5 linked regions of the Bombyx mori genome follow. Each later gene encodes a partner of the first gene's protein in a complex. Links are inferred from orthologs where the notes say so. Each region holds a gene or a part of one and is shown in the gene's direction. Other genes may lie near its edges.

What was found.
Region 2: cdk8 (region 1) and mediator of RNA polymerase II transcription subunit 21 share a complex: the UniProt entries of both Caenorhabditis elegans proteins name them as parts of the mediator complex. The link is inferred for Bombyx mori from reciprocal best matches to the Caenorhabditis elegans genes cdk-8 and mdt-21.
Region 3: cdk8 (region 1) and mediator of RNA polymerase II transcription subunit 31 share a complex: the UniProt entries of both Caenorhabditis elegans proteins name them as parts of the mediator complex. The link is inferred for Bombyx mori from reciprocal best matches to the Caenorhabditis elegans genes cdk-8 and mdt-31.
Region 4: cdk8 (region 1) and mediator of RNA polymerase II transcription subunit 7 share a complex: the UniProt entries of both Caenorhabditis elegans proteins name them as parts of the mediator complex. The link is inferred for Bombyx mori from reciprocal best matches to the Caenorhabditis elegans genes cdk-8 and let-49.
Region 5: cdk8 (region 1) and mediator of RNA polymerase II transcription subunit 18 share a complex: the UniProt entries of both Caenorhabditis elegans proteins name them as parts of the mediator complex. The link is inferred for Bombyx mori from reciprocal best matches to the Caenorhabditis elegans genes cdk-8 and mdt-18.

What each region holds. Positions count from the first base shown.
Region 1 is NC_085129.1:10,511,704-10,517,969, forward strand, and holds the start of cdk8 (cyclin dependent kinase 8), read left to right. Parts: upstream 1-2,622; 5' UTR 2,623-2,860; coding exon 2,861-3,106; intron 3,107-3,761; coding exon 3,762-4,013; intron 4,014-4,640; coding exon 4,641-4,830; intron 4,831-5,509; coding exon 5,510-5,723; intron 5,724-5,801; coding exon 5,802-5,970; intron 5,971-6,266. Other genes in the region: uncharacterized protein LOC101736423, read right to left, coding at 925-1,048. UniProt on the Caenorhabditis elegans protein: Component of the Mediator complex, a coactivator involved in regulated gene transcription of nearly all RNA polymerase II-dependent genes.
Region 2 is NC_085122.1:11,556,370-11,562,701, reverse strand, and holds mediator of RNA polymerase II transcription subunit 21, read left to right. Parts: upstream 1-2,180; 5' UTR 2,181-3,069; coding exon 3,070-3,111; intron 3,112-3,189; coding exon 3,190-3,468; intron 3,469-4,257; coding exon 4,258-4,383; 3' UTR 4,384-5,179; downstream 5,180-6,332. UniProt on the Caenorhabditis elegans protein: Component of the Mediator complex, a coactivator involved in the regulated transcription of nearly all RNA polymerase II-dependent genes.
Region 3 is NC_085122.1:5,744,966-5,751,278, reverse strand, and holds the start of mediator of RNA polymerase II transcription subunit 31, read left to right. Parts: upstream 1-1,986; 5' UTR 1,987-2,297; coding exon 2,298-2,313; intron 2,314-2,389; coding exon 2,390-2,479; intron 2,480-2,861; coding exon 2,862-3,031; intron 3,032-4,035; coding exon 4,036-4,182; 3' UTR 4,183-4,207; exon of another isoform or gene 4,208-6,113; intron 6,114-6,114; exon of another isoform or gene 6,115-6,147; intron 6,148-6,222; exon of another isoform or gene 6,223-6,313. UniProt on the Caenorhabditis elegans protein: Component of the Mediator complex, a coactivator involved in the regulated transcription of nearly all RNA polymerase II-dependent genes.
Region 4 is NC_085119.1:10,079,811-10,085,923, forward strand, and holds mediator of RNA polymerase II transcription subunit 7, read left to right. Parts: upstream 1-2,468; 5' UTR 2,469-2,668; coding exon 2,669-2,854; intron 2,855-2,926; coding exon 2,927-3,195; intron 3,196-5,668; coding exon 5,669-5,873; 3' UTR 5,874-6,000; downstream 6,001-6,113. UniProt on the Caenorhabditis elegans protein: Component of the Mediator complex, a coactivator involved in the regulated transcription of nearly all RNA polymerase II-dependent genes.
Region 5 is NC_085121.1:5,595,237-5,601,475, reverse strand, and holds the start of mediator of RNA polymerase II transcription subunit 18, read left to right. Parts: upstream 1-1,953; 5' UTR 1,954-2,272; coding exon 2,273-2,365; intron 2,366-2,804; coding exon 2,805-2,939; intron 2,940-3,224; coding exon 3,225-3,429; intron 3,430-3,699; coding exon 3,700-3,812; intron 3,813-5,975; coding exon 5,976-6,101; 3' UTR 6,102-6,239. Other genes in the region: exosome complex component RRP4, read right to left, coding at 331-465, 547-784, 858-982. UniProt on the Caenorhabditis elegans protein: Component of the Mediator complex, a coactivator involved in the regulated transcription of nearly all RNA polymerase II-dependent genes.

The sequences.
Region 1 (6,266 bases):
CCCAGCAACAGCAGTTTAAATGTAATTTCAATTGTGTTTGAACAATTTAACAGTACGAAAATGGCAGGGTGGTAGGAGGGGTTGTTGGGGTGGAAGGAGATATATTCTGTTGTTATAATTAGATCTCCCATCATCCTTTTGGGTGATGTTGTGGAGTGGGAAAACACCTCTATCCCAGGCACTAGTCACTTCTCTTTTAAATAACTCCCATTTCGTTTTTGTGTTTTATTTATTTTACTATTCAGATTATTATTATTTTTCCTCCAATAACATCTATTACCATTATGTTAGAAGAGGGTAATAGATTTCAGTACTAATTACTGTCCCTTCACAAATTACATCAATTTAATTCCCAAATTAAGTAATACTGTTATGCTTTAGAAAGAAATAGAATAGATTCTTAACATTTTGTCTGAGTTTTAGTGTCATTATATACAGAAATGGAATGAAAACAAAATTAACATATATTCATAAACATTATTTTACAAAAATTATAATACCTAAGTTTATGTTAAAAACTATTTTATTTAATAAAATTGCAAATGCTTATTTTTCTACTCTATTTTGGACAAATAAATAAAAACAATACAAGTTAACCAACTAATTGTAAAGGTCCACCACTAAAAAACAAAATAAAAAGCAGTAATTCAACACAACAAAAAATTTGCTACGCAATCAATCACTACGTTAATGAGTGTTGCTATGGAAACCAATCCCTTAAACTGGGTTCCCAGAATGCGTTGTTATTGACAACAGCCAGGGACCATGCATCTATCGATAGCTTTATTTATGTTTGCAATCAGAGGGTGGAAAATCAATACCGCGATTACCTGGGGATGGGGTAGCGTTTGTGCAATTACTAAAGGACCTAAGTACCTGGTATGTACAAGGTACATTTAATAACATAAAATATCAGTTACTTACGATTGCCGCAGCAGCTTTCAGCAATAGTTACAATCACATCATTACTCACAATGTTTCCAAACATATTCGTTAAAACATCAATTGCGTTTACTATATTTTCATCACTGTTCCCTTGGTCCTCCATTGTGACTTCTAAAGTGTAACAACTCACACTGGACTGGACATTAAATAATATAAAATGAAATTATTTACCTTGATAAATATGAACACGTTTATTTAATAACAAAGACTAGTAAACAAATTTGTTTAAGCATAAAGATGAAATCCATAAACCTGCTGACCATTGTCCGACTATTGCGAAGTGAATTTATTTTGACACCACACCACAGATAAATTTAGACATATTGACACTGGCAACTGTCAATTAACAGTATTGTAGTAGTAGTAGTAGTTATATTTTTCCAACTATGAAGGCAAAAGTATCATACCATACACCTTAATCGGTTATAATTTTTTTATGAAAAATGATAATATGAAGTGAAATGAAATGAAGATGATTAATTTGTAACATTAATCAATTGGCACGAAATTAAATGAAATAAGATGAGATGATATGGGATCCACTGAAAAAATCTCAGTAAATGACCACCATTTTTCTGAGATTATATTATTTCATGCTATATCATCTCATTTCATTTCATCCCGGTTGATTAATGTTACAAATCAATCGTCTTCATTTCATTTCATTTCACTCCATATTATCATTTTTCATAAAAATAAGAATATAAATTAAAATAAGACATGACTTAAAGGTCTTAGTTACCCGGACATAAATTACCATAAATAATTTGGCGGGAACGCGAGGAGTGAAGTTGTGTGATTTGTTTTTTTTGTCTATTTAGTGTTTCTTCAGGTTTAAATGTGTATTAACAGTGGCTTATTAATTGTTTAATATCTGTGAAAGCGCACAAATGTGGGAAAATGAAACAAAGCCGCTGAACGTAACTTCTCGGGATCCTCCAAAAAGTCCACTTCAAAAGTCTTAGTGAATGACCACCAGTTTACTGAGATTTGAAATATAATCCCATATCATTTCATCTCGTTTCATTTCACTTCGTTTTCATTGTATTTCATTTCGTTTTCATCTCATTTCATTTCTATAATTTTTCATATTAAACAAAAGTTTTCATTAAATTAAAATAAGACTTGACTTATAAGTCTTAGTTACCAGGTCGTAAAATCCCTTAAAAATATGCATATGGCTACTTTAATGATCACAGATGAAACTTAAACTTTTTGGCGGGAACGCGAGGAGTGAAGTTGTGTGATTTGTTTTATTTTGTCTATTTAGTGTTTCTTCAAGTTTAAATGTGTAATAACGGTGGTTTATTAACTGTTTAATATCTGTGAAAGTGCACAAATGTGGGAAAATGAAACAAAGCCGCTGGACGCAACTTCTCGGGATCCTCCAAAAAGTTCACTGAAAAAATCTTAGTAAATGACCACCATTTTACTAAGATTATATTCATCCTATATCATCTCATTTCATTTAATTTCATCCCAGTTGATTAATCATTTTCATTTCATTTCCCTCCATATTATCATTTTTCATAAAAATAAGAATATAAATTAAAATAAGACATGACTTAAAGGTCTTAGTTACCAGGTCATAAAATCACTTAAAAAAAAGCAGATGAAACCATAGATTATACACTTAATTTATTTGAGAATGAAACTTAATTTAATTATTTAAGCTAGTTTTAGTGTTTTAATTTAAAGATTTAGGCTAGTATAGATATAATTTGCACTCATGAACTAGATATAACGGCTTTTTCACTAATTCACGGAGAATAATGTTATAACGTAGTGATTACTTGCTCAGTGAATAACGTCTTGTATATAACTTGTGAGGGAAGGTATTCAAAATGATTTAAAGTGTAATAAAATATAAATCCTAATTAGTCAGGGATCCAAACTGCATTTCCCGACCGTAACAATGGGAGACAACTTTCAAAATAAGACCATGGCGGCTGTGATGATGGACTACGATTTCAAAATCAAGACTCAAAATGAACGTTCCAAAGTGGAAGACTTGTTCGACTATGAGGGCTGTAAAGTAGGTAGAGGTACATATGGCCATGTATATAAAGCCAGAAGGAAGGATGGCTCCGATACCAAAGATTATGCTTTGAAACAAATTGAAGGAACTGGACTTTCTATGTCAGCATGTAGGGAAATTGCTGTAAGTATAAATACAACATAATTATTTCATTTAAGTAATTTGTTTTTAATTTTAAATAAAAATTTTAAATTTTAAATAATTTATATCTGTATAAATGTGAATTTATTACCATAATAATATGTTCTATGGGGAGTGCTATGAGGAACTGTTTGAAATGATTCCATCATCTCGTTTTTACCATCGCACCGCCGACCACCGAAATAGAGTTTGTCCACACTACCTTGAGCCACTCAGTTCATCCACAGTGTGTTTCCATACATATTTTTGCCATGTACCATACGGCTTTGAAATGAGCTCCCCTTCATGGTGTTTCCGAAGCGCTATGACATGCCCTTCTTCAAACGAGGGCTGTGGAGAGTACTTAACAGTAGGCAGGGGCTTGGCTAAGCCCCTGGCTGAAGTCCATGGATGACGGTAACCACTCACCATCACCATGTAAAAAATTTGCATATTTTGATTCTTGTTTCTATTATTATTTCAAATAATATGTTCATGGGATATTACACCTATTTTGATTGTGTTGTGTTGTATAATTATTGTGTACTGTAAACAAACATTGCATTATCAGCTGTTTTTCTACTTCATATTCGGTCTACAATATAGTAGTGTGGTTTAGATCATAATAAAAAAGTTCGTGTAACAATTTATTTTCTAGCTATTAAGAGAGTTGAAACATCCTAATGTCATAAATCTTATTAGAGTGTTTCTTTCACATACTGACCGAAAAGTCTGGCTGCTATTTGACTATGCAGAACATGATTTGTGGCATATAATCAAATTTCATAGAGCAGCTAAAGCTAATAAAAAATCAGTTATGGTGCCAAAAGGAATGGTGAAGAGCCTCCTCTATCAGATATTGGATGGGATACATTATTTACATTCAAACTGGGTTTTGCATCGAGATCTGGTGAGTGTGATGTATATAGTAATATTTATAATGATGAATCGTTCACATACTATGAGTTCATGTTGTATTGAAATTGTAATTTATACTAAATTAGATAACATAATATATAAAAGTATAATAAATATTATATTAAATAAATTACTATAATTGATAGAAATTCTACTGTTGGCCTGGAAGAGATTAGAAAGACTAGGACGGCAGTCTTACTAATCTCTTTTTGTGTTGAATGATGTGCATTTGTTGTTTTTTTATTTATTTATTACTAGCTGACCCGGCAGACTTTGTAGTGCCTCAATCGATAAATAAAAGACCCAAACTTTTGCATAAAATAAACTTAAAACAAACAGAAGGAATCCGTCCGACGGGGGACATATCAAAGGAAAAACAAAATTGTTATTTTTATTTAATTCCGAACATTTTCATATTTATCTACCTTTTAAACCTCTGGACTTCCACAAATAATTCAAGACCAAAATTAAGCCGTTCTCGAGTTTTAGCGAGACTAATGAACAGCAATTATTTTTATATATATAGATTATTTTGGTGTACCATAAATCAAACTTAATGAATCGATAAATATTATTTTTGTTCAATATCAATATATGTTATTTACAATTAATACTCCAGAAACCAGCCAACATATTAGTAATGGGTGAAGGACCGGAGCGTGGCCGAGTTAAAATAGCTGACATGGGATTTGCAAGATTATTCAATGCACCTTTGAAACCACTTGCTGACTTAGATCCAGTAGTAGTCACATTTTGGTACAGAGCTCCTGAACTGTTGCTTGGTGCCAGACATTACACTAAGGCCATAGGTATATATTTTATTACTCTTACAATAATTCACCTACAGCCACATAAAATTAAGTACTTACCTTTTACTTACTTAAGTAATTTTTACTTAATTGACGTCTACACTTGGCAGGTAAAACACCTTCTCTTCAGCATGGAATTAACAACTTGGTAGCACTTTATTAAATTCATCATTATTTAAATAAATCCCAAAAAGCTTAGAAAATAAAAACTATTATACTATTTTCATTTTTGGATTGTTACTTAACATAGCTAAAATTCATCTGAAATTTCAGTAAACCCGGTCGGTAATTGTGCATTCTGTGAACTACATACCATATCAGTAGTTCATTGTAAACATAAAATATAATGTAATCGAAGAAGAATATAGAAAGATTCCCACCCCATGACACTTGTTCAAAAATATCAGGATATGGGACTGCAGTAGGCCAAGGCGGCACTCAATTATTTTGAGCTCATGAAGTATAGACTCATTGGTGCAAAATATTATATGTGTATTGTAATGTTAAAATGTTGTTCTTTCACGTCAATACAAACCAATGGATTGACATGATTTTTTTTAAAGTGAAAGTATTCATACTGATACTTTTCCTGGACGAAATGTGTAGAGCCACGGTTTAAAACCAAGTCAAAAGAGATGTAAAAAAAAAAGTAATTTAAGAAAATCTCATTTATTTGCAGATATTTGGGCCATAGGATGTATATTCGCAGAACTATTAACATCTGAACCTATTTTCCATTGTCGCCAAGAAGACATTAAAACAAGCAATCCATATCATCATGATCAACTAGATAGAATATTTAATGTTATGGGATTTCCACTTGAAAAAGATTGGGAAGATATAAGGAAAATGCCAGAACATGCAACACTAGTTAAGGATTTCAAGAGATCAAAGTAAATTGAAAAACAAATATTTTGAGGATGCATTGGTCTAAAATGAAATTAAATTTAATATGTTCATATTCATTACAGCTACCAGAACTGCTCACTCAGCAAATATATGGACAGGCATAAGATTAAGCCAGATAGTAAAGCTTTTAGTTTATTACAAAGACTTTTACTGATGGATCCTAACAAAAGAATCACTTCAGAACAGGCTATGCAGGATCCATACTTTGCTGAAGACCCACTGCCTACTCAAGTATGATATTATAATGTTTTTGAATTCTTAATGATCTGAATGGATAGATGAGCAACCTGAAGTCAGGAATATTAGACCCTATAAATGCACAATTTTAATCCCACCCACCTTGTAACAAGTTAAATTTCCAACTGTACTATAAATGCTATCCCATCTTGATTATAGTAGGTATCTACTGGTAAGGGCTCACAAAATTGCCCTCTATGGTAAAAACCAACCATTAAATATTTTGATTTCATTATGTAATGATGACATTCATTTATTTGGTAAATATTTGTGAACCTGTGCAAGAAACG
Region 2 (6,332 bases), on another chromosome or scaffold:
GTTGTTTTATTTTTTTAAATAAAAGAACACTTATTGCGGCATAACTATAATAGTTAGACATATCCTGTCGCGACACTTATTATAAATAATAATGTGTTCTACAAGGTGTAGTACATTATTTAATTCTATCATCAATCGTTTTCGCAGGGCACGCGATGTAAAGAATATTTTAGGTAATTTTTTTACACCTTGGGTTACATTATTGGAGTTTTAGTTAGTATTCCTAGATTATAGCCTATGTCACTCCGGAATAGAGTAGCTTCCAAACAGTGAAAGAATTATTCAAATCGGTTCAGTAGTTTCGGAGCCTATTCAATACAAACAAACACACAAATCTTTCCTCTTTATAATATTAGTATAGACTAGCGACCCGCCCTCGCTTCGCTTCGGAAACATTAAAACACACATGAAACCAAAAAAATAAAATCAGGGACAATGTCGGCTTCTAATGGAAAAAGAATTTTTCAAATCGGTCCAGTAGTTTCGGAGCCTATTCGAAACAAACAAACAAATCTTTCCTCTTTATAATATTAGTATAGAAGTATTAAGTATAAAAGTATAGATTAATTCCTTTAACGGACGGTAGTAGGGGCACTGTTTAAATCCTATCTATTTTTTCTCGATAGAGATACGAATACTTTTTCGATAGTCATTCGTGCTTGCCCTTCAGAGTGTAAAGCTTTAATGAGGATTGAAAATTTTATTAATTATAGCTAAATCCAATACTTAGCATGATTGTTTGCACTTGATTCTAAATGAAAAGTTAAGCTTTGTGATGCTCTCTAACAAAACTAATTGTGAATTGTTAAAACTATTTCATTGTGTGATTTTTTAAAAGTTTTAGTAAATAGTCATTACTTGTTGCTATGTTTATAACTATATTTATGCATAAAATTTGATAATAAATTGAGAATAGATCTATAATTTTAAGGTATTTGATAATAATTTTGGTACTATAGTGTGAAGCTTTGAAGTTTTCAAACAATTTATCTAAATTGTTTTAAAACATTTTTAATAACAATCACGAGGTTTTGTGTGTGTGTGTTTTTTTTTCTGTGCACAATTTAAAACCTCTGTCTTTGTAAATGTGGCCGCAAACGGGGGTTGCTAGCTGATAAAGATGGAAACCTAGATCCAAAGTAGAGTGAGAGAGTTAATGCGTAACATCGTTTGTCAGACAAGGATGGCGGTAGACAAACTTACCCTATTTAAAAATTAAAAACTAATGCGCATGCGTCGAGTGCTAGTTTATTCAACCAACTGCGCTCACTTTCTTACTTTACAAACGATAATTTAGTTAGGTACTCAAAAAAAAGTGGGAATTTTTATTTGCTATATTATTATGCTAATGAATTATATTCATATTGCTGTTATTAGTAAAGTTTTGTACTTAATTTATAAAAAAATTAGATGCTATGTTGGGTATGTACATACAGTACTCAAAAATCTAATTTAGCAATTTTCATTGTTGACTTCTAAGCAATTTAAATTCGATAACGGCGGATTTCTATCATAAAAATGTGATACCGCAAATGCTTAGTTATTTTTAAAGAGTGCAGGTTAGGCTGAAAGCTATCTAGTCTTTTATTGTTAATTCGTACGAGAATAGCGCGAAAGCGGTGATGGAAGTTTTTTTTCCTACCTATTCGGTAGCCTACACACACTGCGACGCAACTTCTTGATGAATTTTAGTTGTTACAAAAATGACGCGAGGATTTGATATTTACTTATTGCGCGACAGGAGGTGTTTGTTGATTGTAAAAAAAATGGCTTACACGAAACGAAAAGAAAAACGGAAAACTTTTACAAATTAGTAAAGTTCTGCCAATTTTACTATAGCACAGCTGCCTTAGATTGAATTAGACTAATAGTTGTAGTAGTCATTAAACAATAACATGTTTGAACACACAACCTCGTTATATCCGTAATGTGAATCCAGCTTATTGTTAATGTTGTTTCATTGAATAACTAAAATTTAAAAATAATCGTTTAAGGTCTGAAATGAAAGAGGTTCATTAATGGTTTTTTATTATACTTAAATACTCAATAATTGTGATGTTTTTCTAGTCGGTAATATTATGGTTACCTATTGTGTACACTGCTTACATTAAATAAAGGAAATTTTGAAATTCATTTCATTGCCTATAATTAAAGTTTTTTAATTTTTTTTATATGTAGATGGGTGGAAGAGCTCATAGTCCACCTGGTGTTAAGTGATACCGGAGCCCATAGATATCTATAACGTAAATACCGTCACCCACCTTGAGATATGAGTTCTAAGGTATACTTACAACGGCTGCCCCACCCTTCAAACCGAAACGTCAAGTGGTCCTGTTATTAGCAACATTACTATTTAGCTTATAATGTATATAACGGAGAAATGGTTTTCTAAATTTTAATACTGATGAGAATGATTGCAGTTCTAAATGTATTTTTTTATTGCCCTTGTAGGCAGACGAGCATACGGCCCACCTGATGGTAAGTGGTTACCATCGCCCATGGACTTCAGCAATGCCAGGGACAGCCAAGTCGCTGCCTACCGTTAAGTACTTTCCGCAAGCCTCGTTTGAAGAAGAATACGTCATAGCGCTCGGAAAACACCGTGGAGCGGAGCTCATTCCAAAGCCGTATGGTACGTGGCAAAAAAGATCTCTGGCTTAAAATGGCGTTACTATTCCAAATTAGGTACTGTTTTGCTGCACGCCAAAGTTAAACGATCGTAATATAATTGTTTCCTTACAGAACTTCAAGTTATTTGGATTTTAGATTAATGTCTCAAATGAATCAACTTTATTTCATTTCGCTCCATATGATCATTTTTCATGAAAGAGAATAGAATGTACATACAAAAGACTAGGATGTATGGTGTGTGATATCTTCGCCTTTCCACCTGGAAATATTGGAAATATTACTTAAAAACGTCATAACGTTCAACTTCAAATAACTTCATTCAAAAGGTAGTTTTACAAATTGATACTGTAGGTAGCTTAAAACCACCTTCCATAGAAAATATCCATATAAGGATTAAATTTTAACAGTGGTTAGTAGGATAAATATCTGAATTGAATAATGGCTGATCGCTTAACTCAGCTTCAAGATACCATAAACCAAGTACGTATGACAAAAATGAACATTTCGTTTTAATTGACATTAATACATTTCACATACGTTGTATTTATTTATTTGTAGCAAGCTGAGAATTTTTGTAACAGCATCGGAATTCTACAGCAGTTCTCGTTGCCTAGCAAGTTCCCAGGCTTCGAACGCGGTGGTTCTCAGACTCCTCAACAACCGCAGAGTCAAGAGGATTATGCGGTTTTATTCGCGGCTCTAATTTCTCGTTGTGCTAAGGACATTGACACGCTCATCGAGTCTTTGCCCAGTGAAGAGAGTTCAACTGAGCTGCAAGTGCAAAGCCTTCGGCGACTTGAGGCCGAGAACAAGGAGGCTGCTGAGCAACTTGAAGAGGTAAGGGCTGTCAACTCTCCGTGCCCAATACACGTGCAATTTATCTCAAAGGACACTAGCTTTCTTTTTTATCATAAATTGGGAATTATCATGTAACTAAACCATTAAAATAATGATTTTAAAGAAGTAATTATGCCATGCAGTTTGCTTTTGTATTGCCATTTGAATGTAAAATCAAATATTCCAAGAAAGTATTTGTATTACAGACATTGTATTTTGTCTATAGTCAACTTTTGTAATGTAAACAAGCACCAATATTTAAACATAAATTAGTACCTACTTAAGATAAAATTGACAGTAATAGCGATTTGGTTAAAGTTGTTTCCTTAACTTCATTTTGAGATGGCACACTGGAATTGTATCAGCGAATATTACTTTATTCAATTTTCAAAACCCATAGGGTGTTTACAGATTAATCTCATGTTTTAGATTGCCATGACTACAAAAACTTATAGTATTTGAAATATTGGAAGTAATCATATCGACGCTTGAAAGGCAAACGTGACTAAGCGACAATGCGTGAACTTCACAGTAGACTAATTTCAAGATGAAATACCTGAAAAAATTCTATTTTAACGAAACTAGCTGTAGGATTGAAATGATTTTAATAGACCTAGAAATATATTTTTTTTGGCATTGAATATGGTTATTGCCTATCATGTATAAAGCAGTTATTGTCGCTTAGTCACGTTTGCCTTTCAAGCGTCGATATGAAAATAATTACACATGACTTACTCTCTTTTCATTAGCGTTAATAATAATGTCAGACAATATTTAATAATTCTACAGGTAGTCCGTCAAGGAGAGATTCTTCTAGAGAAGATTCAGGGTGCTCTGAGTGATATTGCTCAGTGCCAGTTGGACATGCAGAATCCGGCTCTGATCCTCAACAAGGATGTGAAACCACAGTTATAGGGATGGGGTCTGGGGTTCTACCAACGGTAGTTTCCTCTACAAAAGGATACGTTAAAACAAGAATACACGGAAGTATTTTAGTATTATATGAATTTTAAAATTTTGTGTTTGAAATCTTAATGCTTAATGACGAAGATTTTTTTTTGTTGTTTGCAAATTTGTTACAGGGCTTTCATGCCGGTGAAAACTAAATTGTCTGAATGTCATATTTTTGAAACTATAATAAGAAAAACATTGGTATGACATATATCATTTTAAGTAATCATTTGTTATAATTGAATAGTTAAGTATACATGACTTGTTTATTCATTATTTTCTATTATTACGTAAGGCATACTTTAAGTCTGAAAGGGTAGGTACCGCCACTCTGCCTATACATACTGTAAAGCCGTTGTTTTCCAGTTTTGAAGCACAGGTTAGTTGTTGATGATGATTTTGAGATGAGTGGCGGCAATGACTGGGATCTCTGGGCTATGTTAATCTCTTAATATTAGATGAACTCGTTCATCTATATACATAAAATAAAATGAACACAAGGAAAAAGTAAAGGTGATTGTATTCAATGATGAACATGAGTTTTAATTAAATTAAAAAATATTTATGTTTTATGTTTAATTAATTTAATTAAGTTATTATGTTTAATTAAAGGTTTAATTTTTCTTTTTGTTGTACGCCCTGTATATGCTGGAATGGACTCGAATCTAAATATTAATATACTTTAGAGATTGGAAATAGAAAACTATAATCTTGAAATGAAAAAAAATCTATATGATTGAAAATAAATGTTGATAGCTAAGAGTGTTTTATTAAATCAAATGTTTTATTTGTATAAATTTCAATACTGATTCAATGGTAAAGAATAGTTTAATTTAGTAGAAGTAGTGTTCCTTCAGGTTTATATATGTATTAATGGTAGCTTATTTACATTTTAGCATCTCTGAAAGTGCACATGTGTGGGAAATTAGAACAAAGTTCCTATATGTGGCTTAACGGCTTCCTCCAAAAAGCGTCAGTAAATTCCCATCCTGTTACTGGGACGTTATTTCATTTTATCTCATCTCGTTTTACTTCTTTCCAATTAATTTCATATTAATACATTAAAATTTCAAATAAATGATCTTCATTTCATTCTACTACTATCATTGTAGCTTTTAGATAACTAATGGAACAAGCAAGTTTATCGAGTAAGTTGTACATTCGATTTATAAAATTCTTATTGGCTGGATGACTTGACAAAGTATGGTAAAATAATTCTATAACTATACTGAGATCTTACAACTTATATCTCAAGGTGGGTCTATAGGCTCCTGTAACCATTCATCACCAGGTGGGCTGTGAGCCCGTCCACCCATCTAAGCAACAAAAAAAAAAATACAATAAATTCAAAAACATTATTGGCTGTAATAGTCACATCTAAATGTTTTGGAATATTATATTACTATTTATGGTTTGTTACCTACTAACTCAAATGCTAATTAAAAAAATACGCATCTGATATTCTATCAACCCTTTTTTTTTTTCGTCGTGAACATTGAAATTCCTTGCTTTTTACCATCACACCTCTCGCCACCGGAGCAGAGTTCATCCATATTGTCTGGAACCGCTACGTTCATCGACATTGCGTTTCCAAATATTTTTTCTGCCACGTACCATCCGCCTTTGGAATGAGCTCCCCTCCGCGGTGTTTCCCGAGCGCTTTGACATGTCCTTCTTCAGACGAGACTTGCGGAGAGTGCTCAATGGTAGGCAGCGACTTGGCTGGCATTGCTGACGTCCATGAGCGATGGTAACCACTTACCTCAGGTGGGCCGTATGCTCGACTGCCTGCAAAAGCAATAAAAATAAATAAAGAGGGTATTTTAAAAAAATGCTATTTCTTTATCTCTCGAAAACTACTTTCGGTATAATAACTTTCGGCTATATATTGTTGTTGTTAGATCTGTAACATT
Region 3 (6,313 bases), on another chromosome or scaffold:
ACACAACTATTTAGTATCATTTTGTTGGGTACCTAGTCACTGTGGCATATCTGGAAATGTGAAAGCTGACAGTTTGGCCAACAGTGCTACTGTGACCGGTGACGTATACCCGTACAAGAATTTTGGCCATGATCTTGCTGCTTTGCCCGGCATATGCCTCCACAAATCGTGGAATATGTGTTGGGAAGAGAGCGGCCGGATTAAGGGTCGTTTCTTGTATGCTATACAGTCTTCCGTTCCCAGGAAGCCATGGTTTGCCAAATTGTCGTTTGGTAAAACCGCCACTTCTACTATAATTCGTATGCGTCTGGGACATAACAGCCTTCCAGTTCATTTGCACAAACTTGGTATCGTAACTAGTACCGCCTGTGAGTGTGGCGAGAGTTATTGTGACCTGAATCATATTTTCTTTTCTTGTTCTTTATATGATCATTCTTCCTTATATACTTCTTTAGTATCTCTCTCTGTTCCCCTTCCTACTAATATTTCTTTACTTCTTCGAGATTTTAATCCCCTTGTATATAGTATTTTAAGTAGGTTTATATTAAATAATAACATTAAACTATAATTTTGATTTATTTTCCCTGTTATATAATTATTCTGATTTTTTTTGTAAATTCAATTCGTTCTAAATCATTTATGTTTTGTTGCGATAAGTTTCCTTCGTTTTTTATTATTTATAAACTGTAAATAAATAAAACGGCGAATTATAAAAACGTTATTACTTGACGCTGGCTAATGCACAAAACGTGCCAGAGCCAAAAATAAAGAAGAAGAAGAAGAACTGCGTTTATACCATAGAGTTACTACTTATTAACTCCATGGTTTATACATATATTAAGTGTATAATCTATGGTTTATACTGTCTAATTATTTCATAAGTGGATCAAAAAAATATTGAAAACTTCAACAATAATTCAACAAAAAAATGTCGGTGAAGAGTGAAGACGGTCAATTAGTCGTTAAAGTACAATTAGCGTGGTTTTCAGTTCAGTTATTTTTAATGATACTATTCATTACCATGCAATAGGAGATAGTTAAGATACTTGTATTTTATAATAAAATTAATAATTCCTAAATTCATACTTAGTTCAAAAAATGTAAATATAATGCACACAAAATCTGTTTTTGTTGAAATGATAATTATTTATAAGTTCAAGAAATATATTGCAGGGACATTTAGTAGAAATTCATTTAATATAGAAGAATAAACTTAGTATATATACTTATACTCTATAAACAGGATTTTTTAAGAATAATTATATCTATTTGATATATATAATAATATTATAATAATGATATTAAGTATAAATGAAGCTGATTAATACGAAACATGGCATGAAATGAAATGAGATGAGATGATATGGAATGAAATATAATTTCAGTAAAATGGTGGTTATTTATTGAGACTTTTTCTGTGGACTTGTTGGAGGATCCCGAGAAGTTATGTTCAGCGGCTATATTTTATTTTCCCACATTTGTGCACTTTTACAGATATTAAACAGTTAATAAACCAGCTCTATTAAACATTTAAACCAGATTTTTTTTAAGGGATGTTATGACCTGTTAACTAAGACCTTTAAGTTATATTTTATTTTAATTTATATTCTTATTTTTATGAAAAATTATAATATGGAGTGAAATGAAATGAAGATGATTAATTTGAGAAATTAATCAACTGGGATGAAATTAAATGGAATGAGATAATATGGGATGAAATATAATCTCAGTAAAATGGTGATCATTTACTGTGGTTTGTTCAGTGGACTTTTTGGAGGAACCCATTTAAACTTGAAGAAACATTAAATAGACAAAATAAAACAAATCACACAACTTCACTCATCGCGTTCCCGCCAAAAAGTTTAGGTATAGTACCTTTAGGCCAAATATTAAGCCTAAGTAGGATGATGATCATAGTCATAGACTAACTTAATGTGTAGTGTAGTATTGCTCGTATATATTAAGTGTATAATCTATGTATATTAAGTGTATAATCTATGTAGTATTGTGTAGTTGTGTTACGTTGTGTAGGACTCGGAAAAAAATATATACACAAATTTATTTATGTGATTTAATTAATTTAAAAATTTTAAGAGCTTACTAAGTACTGTGTAACATTTTAGTAATGATAAAATCTTAAATATCACATATTTATATAAGGATAAAATGAACTGTCTTGTGTAACCTGAAAATATGTTATTATTTTGGTCATAGATTTGTTGAGACGTACACCACTGACCAACTTGTTTAATTTTGAATAATTTAAATACTCCAGCTGCATATATTTCGGGTTCAAAATGATGGCTGGAAAAGGTAAGAAAGAATGAAATAATTTTATTTAACAGTTTGTTATTTCATGATAAATTAATAATCTTTAATTTAATTGCAGTAATGCCAGAAACTGAAGAGCAGAATCGAATAAGATTTCAAGTGGAACTTGAATTTGTGCAGTGCTTAGCAAATCCAAATTACATTCACTGTAAGTTGCCTTTTTGGTTTTTGTTGTTAGACTTCACACTCACCTGGTATACAATGATTACTAGAGTACATAGACATCATAATGTAAATGTTGCCACTTGAACTTATGCAGGCTAATGCTGCTCACTGCATACATACACTTATGGAAACTTATAATGATAACTTAATGTGATGACTGATCTGAAGCTATCAAGTTGGTCATCAAATCATCACAAGAGGGAAATAAGTAATAAATTGTTAGGTATTTTTCATACCGGTTTAATGATTTTGTTATTGTGACTTAGTTTCTAATCGTCTATTTTGTGATTAAATGTTTTTCTGCCCAGTGTTTTTAAATGTTATGTGTAATGGATGTCAATTATGTCAACTCTGTCTATTTACAGTTTTGGCACAGCGAGGTTATCTTAAAGAACAAACTTTTGTAAACTATCTTAAATATTTGCAATATTGGAGAGAGCCAGAATATGCTAGATATTTGAAGTATCCCATGTGTTTGCATTTTTTGGAGTTATTACAACATGAAGCATTTAGAAGAGAATGTGTATCGGCACAAGTGAGTACAAATTGCACCTACTAAATTATTTTCCATATAATCTTTGCTTGAGCGGTAGATAATGCCATAGGTTTTAAGTCCGCTGATAAACATTCTTCTTCTTCTTCTCTGTCGTTTCCTCATTGCTGAGGGTCGTGACCACCTTGGTCCAGTTTTTGAAGTAGTGTTTATATGAAGGTTTGTTGTGGCCTGAAGGCTTATCGCTCAGGCTGACCTGACGCATTCATATCAAGCGATACAAAGGTGTTCAGATCCTGCAGGCAGGTTCCAATTATTATAATGAGATACATACTAAACAAATGTTCACTATTGACTTCCACAGTTAAGGAATAACACCATCTAGTAAAAGAATCAAACTTGCGAAATTATAATTTGTGTAGTTACTGGTTGTAGGATGTCTTGTGAGTCCGCAGGGGTAGGTACCTCTACCCTGCCTATTTCTACAGTGAAGTAGTAATGTGTTTCGGTTTGATGGGTGGGGCAGCCATTGTATTTTTTTTTGTTTAGGCATTTACTTTGTACATGTCTATGGGCTCAGGTAACAACTTAACACTACTTGGCCTTTTTTTTTTCTGATATAGTTTTATGATTTATAGGTTTCACAGTATGATGTTTATGGGCTTAAAACCAAAACAGAGCTTGACTTACAAATCAACAGTAAAAAAAATATGCAAATGAAATTGAGCTAGTTTGAATGTAAGAATATAAATTTGGTAATTGTTAATGACCACGTACAAGTTACTGCAAAAGTCATATTATTATAATTTATTGGCTTTTATTTACCACCTCATTAGTAGCTGTGCTTTATTCTTGTACTCTACCAAATATAAAATTTATGACTGTGCCAAACTGGCCCTTGACCAAATACCGCTTTTAATTTTATCCGATAGCAGTATAATTTGTATGTATTACAATTTTTAAATAAAGCCTGTGTTTAGATCACTCTGATGGATAGGTACTGTTCAAAATATCTTCATTAATGAATGATTAATATTTTCCTTAAGGTTTGCAAATTCATGGACGATCAAGCAATATTGCTATGGCAACATTATACTCGTCGGCGTACACGCACGTTACAACCGCCGGACGCACCGGCGCTTCCTGCGCCGCCCGCACCGCCACAACAAGGTCCACCAAGACAACAAACTTAGGATGTTCATGATTGTTGTTTTAGAAGTGAGTGGAAAATAAAATAAACTTTTTATAAATCTATACTTAATAAATAAATCTACAGTGGTTTTTATGGATGTTCCGTTATAACTACTGAACCATGCATCCGATTGACTTGAACTTGTTATCCATGTAGAAAATACATGTACATAATGGATAGGCTAATTATATGAGTGTTGGACTCCCTACACCAGTTGCGGGGGCGTTAATGATGTGAATCTTTGTGGGGGTGAGAAATAATAATGTTAATTTTAAATGCCCAGTGAAGCGGACGGGTACAGATAGTAGTGTATAATAATGTTAAAAAAATATTGGGCATGTCCTCTAGTAGGATGTCCCACCGGGGGACAAAGATCTCCCTCTAAATTATCTAAATGGGTGTTAATGAAACCTCTTTGTTATGTTATAAAAATAATTTGGCTGATATTAAAATATTTGTTCTGTGTAGTAGTAAAATATACGTAGTCTTACTCATAAAAAATATATTTAATTACTTGAAATGGGCACTGAACGTTTTTCAAAACGAATTTTATTTGATTGAACATAAACAAATCCTTTGTATAATAACCGGCAAACTTCTTGAGCATTTGTTGACGTAGTGGGGGTAAGTTTGCGCATGGTACACTCACGTGCAAAAACATTACTTACTCTGCGTCATAATGCTATTAAATTATTAAAATGAACATATGTATTTATTTATATATTTATTAGAACATTAACAAAACATATAGGTTAATAATTGTAATAATTTAATCTTGGGGTAAAATAGATATTCCTTCTATTAAGTCAAAACTAGAGCTGTTGCCAGGTCTTGGTTCAGTTGAAGCGAAGCTGGTATTTGTAATTTTTTTTCCGTTATCATAATCTTGACCATCATCATCATCACTGTTTTCATCACCCGAGTCGCTATCATCGTGATGAGTCGACATAGGGCTCATCGGCGTAGTTTACAACTCGGTCGATTCGGTCTTCTTTTTTGTCTATAATTAATTATTTTTTGAAGATATTCGATTCGTAGTAATCGAATGTTACTTTTTTCATTTACCAGCTTCCGATTATTTTCTGTTCTTTTTTTCCATCTGAAGCCTAGCTCTTTCATAATTCGTCGTAAGCTTCATTCCGAGCCATTAAAATTTAAATCTTCTTTAAATGTTTCGAAGCCTTTCGACGGTACGGAGTTTCGCTGCTTGTTATGTAGTTATTATGATTACATCTTTTTATTACACATTGAACGAAACTATCCATTCCGGTAACTTTCTTCTTCCCTGATCTTTTCTTACCCGGAGTCCGCAACACGGCGAGCAAGCCAGAGCCTTTAGCTTCGTTAATAATGCACCTAACAGTACTCACTGATGTTTTTGTTGCTTCCGAAGTCTGTTTTAATTTTTCCATATCATTCTTCCCCTGTTTTATAATGAAGCAATATACGTCGTACACAAATTTTCTACCCTTTCTTTTATAAGAAAGGGTAGAAAATTTGTACTTAAGTACTACACCAGTTTGTCACGGCATAGTGTATGTTTTATAAAAAATCAACAAACACTCAACAAATAGCAATGGCAACAAAGTCCACAAGCAATTATAACAAATAACTTAACGATTAATAACGATAGACTTTCCACTGTACGCAAGCGTACTTTTGGGAGCAAGCGGAATGAGGGCGCGGTGCGGGACGCAAGGTTCGACTGATCTACCAATAACGCGCTCGATACGATTTCCCCTGCCGTCGCGCCTCACCCTCACCACCAAAGTGATCTAAAATTCGGTTCTGCGCAGTCAAGGTCATTTGCTCAAGAAGTTTGCCGATTACTATACAGATAGATATGCAGTTAAATGTGTGCCTAGCTAGACTGAATTATGTAGTTTAAGTTTTGAGGTTAAGAAAAGACGAAATAAATTTATGTATTTTTCAGATCGGTTTTTTAATTATATTAATTCGAAATATATTATTATTTTTTATTGCATGTAATGTTATAAGGTAAACGGCCTTTTTTCTTCTTTGTCGTTATCACTCTTGACAGAGTGGTCGTGGTCATCACTTCAGGTGTCGGTGGCAAGCTTCGCAACACGCCGCTAATCTTCTGACGGCCAGACGGCTATTTTTGCCTCAAG
Region 4 (6,113 bases), on another chromosome or scaffold:
ACAGCCCCCAAGTCTTCTGTTTTAAAGCCAAAAACAATTAACGGTATTATCTAAGGCCAAAGAATCGGCTCGTATTATTATTATTGTTTATTAATATTTATTTAAAATCTTATTAATTACATAATATTTTTTAAAAAAGATATTAATAATACAATTTTTTAAAAACACTATATAAAAATAGATTGCCGCTGATGGCGGTGTCTACGACACAAGCCACCAGTGGTTAGGACTCCAGAGTGAGAAGCCTCCTCACAATGCGTGCAGTATCGAGGATAACTGCTTTCTGTATTTGGCCCTTAACCCAGCTGGATAACGAAAGTTTTTTAAGATGTTGATCGAAACTTTTCGCTATCAAGCCGTGTACCGATACAACTATTGGAACAATGATGGTTGAATCAACATGCCATATGGCGGTAGTCTCGTGGGCCAGGTCTAAATTTTTTATTAATTTGTCCTTTTCTGCCTTCACGAGGTTCTCGTCATGAGGAATGGTGACATCAACCAACACTGCTCGACGTGCAGATCGATCTATTATCACAATATCAGGTTTATTGGCAACAATATACCTATCCGTGATAATAGATCGGTCCCAGTAGAGCGTAACATGACCATTATCAAGAACTGGTTGAGGTTGGTATTGGTAATAAGGTACAGCAGAATCAAGAAAACCATATTTCAGAGCAAGTTGTTGATGGATAATCCTAGCCACTTGGTTATGTCTATGCAAGTACTCGCCGTTAGCAAACCGAGAACATCCAGAAACAATATGTCTAATAGACTCTCCCGGACGGTGGCATGCCCGACAAATGTCGACCGTCCCATCCTTTAATATAATATATTTCCGGTAGTTGTTCGTCATGATAACTTCGTCCATAATTGCAAAGATAAAACCTTCAGTTTCCCCAAAGAGGTTACTGAATCGTAACCAGGCCACGGAAGCTAATTGGTCTACATCAGGCCCTGTGAGAGCCCGGTAGAACCTACCGTGTAACTCCTTGCTCCTCCATACGGTTATGCGATCTAAAATACTCTTATTATTATTATTATTATTTGGTATCTAAACATACCTATCTCACACCATGTTTATTTAATGAAAAATTAAATGGAACTAATTATGAAAAGAAATTTAACTTGGATTAAAACTGAAGAATTTTTTTATAAATTATATAAAATATACAGATCAAATAAAATAATTCATAAAACTTACATCCCGAATTCCTGCCAAAGGTCTGCTAAATTAGATATTTTATTTCATTTTTCATTTTTTATTTGGGTTATACAATTACGTATGAAATGTAAATAAAACTACTTTTATTGTCTTTAGCGAATAATTGAATTTTTTCAAGTCTTAATAGTTGGCGCTACTGCAAAACATGCTGTCTGTGGCGGGTAGCCATCATACAACGCAAGATGATTGACGGATGCCTGAATCTCGCTTACGACATTTTCAAGATAAGGCAGAGCTCGAAACTTAGGCATCCGCCACAGAAAGCATGCTTTGCAGTAGGGCCAACTATTACTGTAGATATACGATAAAGGGAAGATCTTCCACCGAGCGGGTGATAATTGCTCTGTAGACCGACGGTCCGAATGTTGTTGTTCGGAACTTGTATATAAGCAAGCTGATCTTGAAAATGTCGTAAGCGAGATTCAGGCATCCGTCAATCATCTTGCGTTGTATGATGGCTACCCGCCACACTGTCAAACTGCAGTTTCGTGTATCCACTTAATCGCAATCGCGATGTGCCTTTTAATTTTTTTTATTTTTTATTGCTGAGATGTGTGGACGAGCTCACAGCCCACCTGGTGTTAAGTGGTTACTGGAGCCCATAGACATCTATAACGTAAATGCGCCACACACCTAAAATATTGTCCTCTGTATGAGAGCCTACTGCTATAATCCAATTGATCCAGCTCAATCCAGACACCAGAATCTTGCAAAGTTATAATACACTTAACAGATCTTAGTTACTCATTGATTTTCTTGTGTGATACATTTTATGAAACCATTTTAAATGATTTTATAGACACACCCCACCCCTAAGTTTGTTGCCAATCTTTCCTGTAACATCCTTAATAGTTAATTGTCTCCACGACTTGCGAAAGCTAAAGGAACAAAGCCCATAAAACATCTTTTTTATTTTATTTATAAAAGCCAAATTGTTTACATGAAATTTCTTTTTGGTTATAAAACATCAAAAATCTTTCGACAAAAATCAGTTCGGGATTTTTTTTTTCTAAAGGTTCATTGAACACTCAGTACATTCTCAGAATTTTAGCGAAAAATTACTTCACTTCATTTTGTCCACACTTACGGTGTTGTCATAAACTCACCTCTAAATTGAAGTTCATTTAACTTTCACAACACCTTCGACCTTGGTGGCAAAAATTGGAATATATGAGCTATGTTCCCTTTGCTTATCCATAAGGCCAATCAAACAAAAAAAGCATACTAAAGCATAGATTAAACACTTATTTTTTAGAAAGCATAGACAAAGCTCATAATAATTCATACATTTCATACTGTAGTGTGTAAAGTTGTTTTAAAATAAATTTCTTCAATTTAACACAATATTTAAGAGTATGTAAATCTTTTTTTGTAAATATAGGCATATTCCGTTTTTATTAAGTGTTTGCTAGAATCGTACGTACGGATTCCCGGTTCACAATGTCAGAGACAGCTCAAGTTAGCTCTTTACCTCTGCCTCCAATGCAATATATAAATTTTTACACGGATGAAAATGTTAGAAGAAATAGAGCTCCTCTACCACCTCGACCTATTCATGATTCTTATTCAATGTTTGGTAATTCTTTTAACGCTGATGATGCTATTATACGTTCGTTAGAAAGCCAGGTAAGTCCTAAAACAACTAGTTTACAAACACAAATGTTTATGTAAATAATTCGTTGTAAAAAATTCCTTCAGGGATTTCGAAGATTGTATCCTATGCATTTTGAACGAAGAAGAGAATTGAAGAAACTTAACCATTCACTGCTGGCAAATTTTCTGGATTTGTTGGATTTGCTTGTTCATTGTCCAGATTCTCCAAAGAGAGCAGAAAAAGTAGAAGACCTAAGTTTGTTATTTATTCATATACATCATCTTCTAAATGAATTTAGGCCACACCAAGCAAGAGAAACATTGAGAGTAATGATGGAATTGCAGAAAAGACAGAGGGTTGAAACTGCAGCAAGGTACTATTAATAGCGTTAATTTGTCATATGTTGGTGTTTCTACTATATCTATACTGGACACCAAGGAACCATTCTAGAAAATAAAGATAGATCTCAGATCACAAATGACAAAATAAAAAAGATGCCAACATAAATATTTAAGTTATGTTTTTGCCACACACATGATATAACCATTAAGTGTGTGACTTATCCTTTATTATTTTAGGCTTTAACATTATAATATGATCTTTAATTGGGTGGTAATGTGAAAGTCTGATTTAAATTTCACTGGTTGGATTTTCACTGGTTGGAAACATTAGGTGCCACTAGTGATTAGACATTTTTATCTGTTACCACAGTACCTTCATGATTGAGATTCCCAGACATTTTGCCCATCAATGTTATGTTAATTTATTTATAATTAGTAGAACCTGAATAAATTTATTGTGTTTAATCTTACCATAGGCTGTTAAACACAAAGTCATATTAAGTTCTCCCAATGTTTGATATTGAAGCAGAATAATGAAAATCAGATTTGTAATGAGTTTAATTTTTTTTTATTTTTATTGCTTAGGTGGGTGGATGAGCTCACAGCCCACCTGGTGTTAAGTGGTTACTGGAGCCCATAGACATCTACAAAGCAAATGCGCCACACACCCTGAGTTATAGTTCTAAGGTGTCTCAGTATAGTCACAACGGCTTCCCCACCCTTCAGACCGAAACGCATTACTGCTTCACGGCAGAAATAGGCGGGGTGGTGGTACCCACCCGTGCGGACTCACAAGAGGTCCTACCACCACCAGTAAAAAACCTTAAACTTGTCTCAATAAAAAAATTTTAGTATTCATAATGTCATATCATCTTTTTCAAACCAAAATCTGCCCTCTGCACTTTTTAGAGATTTCCAAATTTGAACTGTTTTGAGTAATATACAAAAATATTTTAATATAAAAAAAAAGAAATTAGCAGATATTGTTTACTGATACTACGAGGGCGGCACTGAAAATTTCGGGAATTAACGAAGTGACGAAGTTACTATTTAAAAATGTATTTATTGCTTATCGAAGTATTCTCCGCGAAATTTGACACATTTTTCCATACGATGGAACCAATCATTGAAGCAACCATTCCATTCGGAAGTTGGGGTCTCCAAAATGGCCGTTTTGTAGGCGTCTACAGCTTCTTCAGGTGATGAAAATCTCTGTCCACGCAATTTATTCTTTATTTTAGGGAAAGTATAGAAATCATTAGGGCTTAGGTCGGGGCTGTACGGCGGATGGTCTAATAATTCTATGTTTTCTTGCTCTAAAAACTCTTTTGTTCTGTGCGCGGTGTGAGAACTCGCATTGTCGTGATGGAGGATGATGCGGCGGTTGCAGTTCTCTTTACGGAGTTCAGAAACGACCTGTGGCAAACAAATGCTAGCATACCATTCTGCATTAACCGTTCTTTGTCCCTCAAGAGGAATAGTCGTAACATGGCCGGTTTTGGAGACAAACGTGGCCACCATTTTTTTTGCAACACTCCGTGAACGAACAATTTTTGTTGGCTTTAACTCATTTTCGAACACCCAAACTCGTGACTGGTTTTTTGTTTCGGGTTCGTACGCGTATATCCAGGATTCGTCACCTGATACAATGTTGTATACAGCATTTGAGGATCCTGCGTGGAATCTTTCGAGAGTTCTGACGCACCAAGTAACGCGAGCCGCTTTTTGCTCTTCACAGAGCGAATGCGGTATCCATCGGGAAAACAACTTTTTTACACCTAATTGTTCATGCAAGATTATTTGTATTTGACTCATGCCAATGTCTAAAGTTGCCTGAATTTCGCGGTATGTCACATGTCGATCTTCCTCAATCAGCTTACGCACAGCATCAACGTTTTCTTGGGTGACTGCAGTTTTTGGACGACCTTGAAGGGAATCATCACTGAGCTTGACACGTCCACGTTGAAACTCAGCAAACCAGCGATAAATTGTGGTTTTGGATGGGGCTTCATCACCAAATACAGAAATCATCCGGTCAACACACTGTTTTTGTGTTAAACCACTTCGAAAGTCATAATAAATCATCGCTCTTGAATTTTCTCGAGTCAATTCCATTTTCTCAACGACTAAACAAGTTTGACAAAACCTCGTGACAAGACCGAGAATCTTTTTTAAAATAAATAAATGGTATTCGATTTTTAAAACCAAGGAGTTTTCAATTAAAAAGATTTTAATATGACAGGAACAGTAGAAATATTCCATTCCCGATACTTTTAGTGCAGCCTAGTATATTATAACACAAGATTGAACTCGAAAATTATTTGTTGTTTATCGTCGTGTTTTTGTGGATGGACAGCTGTTACCTTACAAGTTAAATTTCCATTCGGACCATTGTTGCTTGACTTTGGTTTAATGTGTGAATTCTCTGAAGCAAAAAATAGACAAGATGCTGGTATCCATGGAACCTAATCCAGTTATAAGAGCTAATAAAGTCTGTTCTTTCAGATTCAAGAAACACTTAGACAAGGTACAGGATATTTTACAGAATGCTCTCCAAAGCTTACCAGATCAAAATGAATTGGAATCAAATTTCAAAGTGCCAAATGAATTGTTGGACCAAATGGAAAATAATACTTGCAATATTCAAAAGGCTGATCCCTGCTTTGAATTAGATAGAATTATGTGCAATGTAGTTGATAATATGAGATAGTATTTATGTGAATTATGGCTGACTGCTAAAATCCATTACTCAATAAACAACTCCAATACTTAGGATTTAGATTTATGTGAGGCAATTGTACTAACAATTATTATATTAAAAGTATTGTAACCATCTACCTCAGTGTATTAATGACTCCAGATTGTAGTAGCCACTATGGGACAGTGGTTCCGGAAGTGGCGCATTGACATCAATCCCACGAAAAGCACAGCGATGCTCTCCAAAAGGGAT
Region 5 (6,239 bases), on another chromosome or scaffold:
TAATACCAAATAAAATTTACCTTTAATTACACAGATAGATGCCATGTAGTAAGCGAAGTGTCACTTAAAACAAATAGCCTTACGCCCCTTGATTTTATTTATTTAAACATATAGGTAGTGAATTAAAGCAGATTTAAGTGTTTGTGTAGACTTGTAATCAATTTGCTAATGAAGCATGTTTAATCTACTCAGAAGGATAAATATCATCTTCACTTTGGAGGATTTCAAAATTTAATGTTGCTACATATTTGAATATTTTTAATTTCCTTATAACATTCTTGTTGAACTTTAGAATAGTCATTTTTTATTGGCTTCATAAAATCTGATTACCTTGCCATATTTCAAACTTCTTGTATGCAATGAGAGCGAACCATCAGAAAATACATTCTGTACTTCAGCGCTTATCAAATCACCTTCCTGTAAATGTTTTCTCATCATCTGCTCATCCTCTTCTGAACGCCTTCTCTGGATTTAAAAAAATATATAAATAGTTATCATTAGATACAAGAAGATTGCTTTATATTATGGAAGTGTGCGTTAATTTACCAATTCTCCGCCAGGTAGATTTACTGAAGAAAGTTGAAGTATTGAATCAAGTCGTGAATTGGTATCAACTTTCCATCTTTTCTGTTGAACTTCCAATACTCTTCCGACTACCACATCGCCTATTTCTCCAACGTAACGACTCTTCAATGGGCGAATGCATATAAGTTTATTTACTTTTTGCATAACCCCAGCAACAGATGCTTTTAGGCAATCATCTTCTGCGTAAGTTCCGTGGCCTCTTAAAGTGCAAAATTATTAAATTTATAGTAATAATAATTCTTAACAATATTGTTTTCGCAAAAAATACCGACCTCATAAAATCTTGTATCCCAGTTATGACTTCGCCAGGAGTGTAAAAACGCGGCGGGTCATTATTTGAGGCAACCGAATGATTTACTCTTTCAGATGCGAGTTTTATAGATACATGACTGACCATTTCTAATGTTTTTTTAAGCTCCCTCTTTGCTAATTGTGAATTGTGTACAACGAACTCATAGACCTATAGTCGGATTTTTTATTAGACGAAGTCAACTGACGTTTACTGTGTTGTCAGGTTTTGATGAAATAAAAATAGTGTTGTGACAAAGTGAACGATTGAAAAAACTCCTGAATTAATGAAATTGCCTCGATTGTCTAGTGAATAGTTAGTGTGCCGAATTGCCGATATCGGGTACGGGGTTCGAATTTTAGGCGTGCTTTGTACAACCAATGAGTTTTCGACGAAATATTATGTTCCTATAGTATCTACCTGCACTGAATACCGAGTGTTTTAAACATTAAGAAAAACATTGCGAGGAAGCTTGTAAGACTGTCCTATTTCCAATACATCATATAGTTGAAATTATAGATGTATAAAATATAACAATTATAGGTATGTAATGAAAATAAAAAAAAGTAATTGTAGTTACATACTACTAGTAACATATATTGGAGCACTTTAATACAATTTTATTGTAAAATATAAATAATATTCTTTTATAGTTTGAAATTAATGATTAACTCTTCACACTCATTGTTCATTCATGTGATTGAACGAGAACTGAACAGATGATAAGGGATGAAATACAATCTCACTAAAATGACGGTTATTTACTGAGATTTTGGCCTTTTTGGACGATCCCGAGAAGTTACGTCCAGCGGCTTGGTTTCATTTTCCCACATTGGTGCACTTTCATAGATATTGAACAGTTAATAAACAACCGTTATTACAGGTTTAAACCTGAAGACACACTAAATAGACAAAATAAAACAAATCACACAATTTCACTCCTCGCATGTAGAATCATTGGTGACAAAAAATGTTTAAAAACAAATACGGCCGTACCAATATGATAATATGATGCGATACCATTGCCTCTCTCTCCTGTATTTGAAAAAGGAAATTACAAAATGTCACCTAAATGAGGCTAAATGTCAACATTGTTAGTAACTGTCAAGCTAACAGCGATTGCAAACATATCTCTACCTTGTTAAATTCCAATATGAGTATTTAGATTATGTTAATTAGAAATTAGAATTTATTTTCTCCTTTAAAATTGCCTAGTTTTTTATTTTACGCAATATTTATAGTTTCGGTTATATGGACTATTTAGACTGAATGCACCTCTATGAGACAGAAAAGTCGTTTATAAGTGTAATGATTTCTTGGCTCACACATAGTTCTTCAAAACTTAAATCTTTAAATAGCTGCTATTGAAGTAGGTTTTCAGATTTTCAGCTCCATAAAATGTCGGCAAACGCTGCACCTATAACAGCTACAGATAGCTTATCGCAAGCTTTAAAAGCGAACATTATACCAAATCAGGAATACTTACTTCAGGTACTACAGGATGTTGAAGTGGCTCAGCTATTTTAAATTTCAGAATAATTACAATATAGTCTACATTCTTCTACAGTTTCCATAAATTGCATACTTAACAGAACTAATTACCATAGTTGCAGCTATTGTATCCAATTCTTTTGACCCATTTGATCTGTTTACATACTACATTCAAAATATTATCAGAACCCATACATACATAGCTTACATATAATAGCAGCCCAAAAAAACATGAGATAAGGTCTTAGTTACAATGCCTACAATGCTGTTCTTAATAAATAAAAATAATTCATTTAATGATTTTCAATTTTACAGTATTTCATAGCTGGAAATTATGATAATTAGGCAACAGGCAGCAACTTTTCTCAAGATTCAGTCAAGTTTGTTAATTGTTGAATATTATACATTTAATTTTTGATTCCACTAAAATTTGATTAAGGGCTCAGTGTTGGACTCGGCAGTAGAAGTTTTACTTCACCGATTACGTGGTCTTTGTGACAATGTTGATGCTGGGCCAGAAACATTTGATGACCAGGAAGTGTGTTTCAGTCTACGGGATCCTAATCATCATCAGGTAATAATAATACTTAGAACTTTTTAAAATATTTCTGTTAATGTTATTATTATTTTAGGACACTAGAATATAAAATGGTTATAAAATTATAATACAATAAAACTTGTATTAAATTATAAATTGATTAAATTTTGCCTGGGCTGTCACCTGTTTGGTCAAGAAAAGTGCTAATGATTTGGTAATCACTATTAATACTGTACAATTCGTGAGCATAAAGACATGCCTGAATCTATATATTTTTCTTTCATGTTCTAATAGTTCATCTTTAATAAATTTAAATTTCAGGCTCCCCCTCTCATGTTGCGTGTTCGTAAAGCATTAGATGCTCGAGACATGCCATTTCAGTTACGATACATTGGGCAGCCTGATTTGGGGGACAAAAATAGGCCAACAGTTGTCCGTTCCAGTCTTGATATAGCCTGCAGTGGAATGCTCATTGAATTTTTAAATGAGCTAGGATGCCGAATTGAATTTGAATACAGTGTAAAAGGTAATAATATTTATTATAATGACAATTATGAGTAATATGATTGTACATGTATTTGATAGTATATTCTAAATCATCACTATTACTATACCACTATTGTTAATAATGACGAATCAAAGAAGACCAATAGTCAAAAATACTAATTCAATTTAAAGTATTACCTAGATTTGGGATTTAATTAAATTGCATATAATTTTCAGTGGTTCATTTAAAATCAATCAATTACGGTAATTTTATAAAAAACATTAAGCTTTTTCTAATTCTAAATTTCAGGTTACATGTTTAGAAAAGGTCGTATGAAAATTACTGTAGCAAAAGTGTTTAAGATTTCTCAAAATTCAATGCCACCTGAACCTATCTCACAGAGCTATCTTGTGGAGCTTTCTGTAAGTTTTTGACACCCAATTAAATAATTTGTCAAATTTCCCAAACAATACCGCTTTCTGGTTTTGCTTGAGTATGATGATTATATATGATCTTTAAGTACCGTAGATTGGGGAAAATGGGGACCCTTTCCAATTCCAAAACAAATTTTCAATGCTTTTATTCTTAGGGTAATACCAATAAAATTGAGATTAAAATGGCTCCGAAGGTTTAAATTTTTAAATACGATTCATTATTTTATATAGTTCATATAGTCACAAAATATACACAAAACCTTAAAAAACTTGCTTGACCCGATTCTCTTTGAATGAGGCTATTTCTCTCATTGACTTGTCCTTCTTCAAACGAGGCTTGTGGAGAGTATACAACGGTAGGCAGCGGCTTGGCTCTGCCCCTGGCATTGCTGAAGTCCATGGGCGACGATAACCACTCAGCATCAGGTGGGCCGTATGCTCGTCTGCCTACAAGGGCAATAAAAAAAATACGCTATGTATGGGGACAACAGAGTTTTTCGATAAGGCTGGCACTATTTAGTTCTTAGGTAGGTACCTAACTTTAGGTAATTAATTTTTTATATCTTTAATGAGATACAAAGTTTTGATATCTGAATTAAACTATATAATATTCTTAAACACTAAATAATAGTCATCTTCAGTGCAACAAAGTTATATCTAACAACCCAACAAGAGTATTGTGACATCCCAGATTTGTCCCTATTCTAACTCTAGTCTCTATTCTCCCCAATCTACTGTAAATAAACTAAAAATAAGGAAGAGATTTTTAATTTGCTGGCTTGGTTTTGATGTAAACAGCTTGGTTTTTTCAAGCTATAAAAACATAAGTAACCTAACCTACAGGTTTCCATGAATAAGTAAGGCTCAATAATAAGCTTCAATTGTTTTTTTTTCTTCTTATTTGTACGTATTAAGTAGATTTTATATAATTAATGTATGTAGTTGATGTTTGTAGAGCAATGTGGATTTATTTTATTTCATGTATGTTATGTGATGTGTAGTGTATTTCAGTTGTTGAAGACTTTTACCCTTCTTTAATATCTTTGGTTCCCTTAGGTTTGTTAGAACAAAAGACTAATTAATACATTAAACTCACCATTGGACATTCTTTTACAAGTCTTATTTTAGTATCATTTTCTGTGTACCTATAATATATAAGAATAAGATGATAGACTAACTTTTATTTGCTGATAGTGAGTCCTGAGTCCTATAAGGATTGTGCGCCCAAAATGTTATATAAACTCTGCTACTTAAACAATTTTGGGGATGCTTAAACGACAAAGGGAAGATCTTCCACCGAGCGGATGATATTGCTCGGTAGACCGACGGTCCGAATGTTGTTATTCGGAACTTGTACATATGCGCTTTATCTTGAAAATGTCGTAAGCGAGATTCAGGCATCTGTCAATTATCTTGCGTTGTATGATGGCTACCCGCCACATCACTCCCCTCCGAGACTGGAGGTCGTGTCATTTTTAGATATCGTTGTCCGTGCTGAGATTAGCTTGCAAGTGCCAGTGCTGCTCGAAGTTTGCGGTGAGTCGAAACTGAGCTTGAATGCTGCGTGATTGTCGCCAGTGCTGCTCGAAGTCTGCGGTGAGTCGAGACTGAGCTTGAATGCTGCGCGATGAGGCAGTGTAGGTGCGTGCCGTAGGGCCAAGAAGCGCGGTTAGTCGGCTGCGATGGTCCTGTTGAGGCTGCGATGCTGGCTTGCTGTGGGACGACTGTCGATGACTTGCTTTTATCTGCGAGAATGCGGGGATTGTGGTAGCCGAAGTTCTTGATGCGCCGATGATGAATCAGAAGGTTGCGTGTTCACATCACGTCGGAGGTCACCAGTTTGGGAAGCTTATAACGACGGAGGGAAGATCTTCCACCGAGCGGGTGATATTTGCTCGGTAGACCGACGGTCCGAATGTTGTTATTCGGAACTTGTACATATGCGCTTTATCTTGAAAATGTCGTAAGCGAGATTCAGGCATCTGTCAATTATCTTGCGTTGTATGACCCGCCACACAATCACGAATTACATTACACCTACTATTATTCCCAAAGACAGTTGACATATAATGTTTTACTGTGCTGAGCCTATTTAGTAGTATAAAGGAAAAGGGTGTAGTGAACTGCTGATAGTTTCATTTTCTTATTCAGGTTCTTGCACCACAAGGCCAGGACGCTATCGGCGAGGATATGCGAGCCTTCGCCGACCAACTCAGGCCTCTAGTGCAGCTCGACAAAATCGACTACAAGAGACTCGGGCACATGTCGGTTTCATAGCCCATGTTCCTAACTCAGAACTTACTTTAACAATTTGAGCAACAGTCTGGTGAAATGAAGAAAAATAGACAAATTTTCTACGACAATATTCGATTGATAAATGTATATAAATACAATACTCATTTCAAACAAATTTAA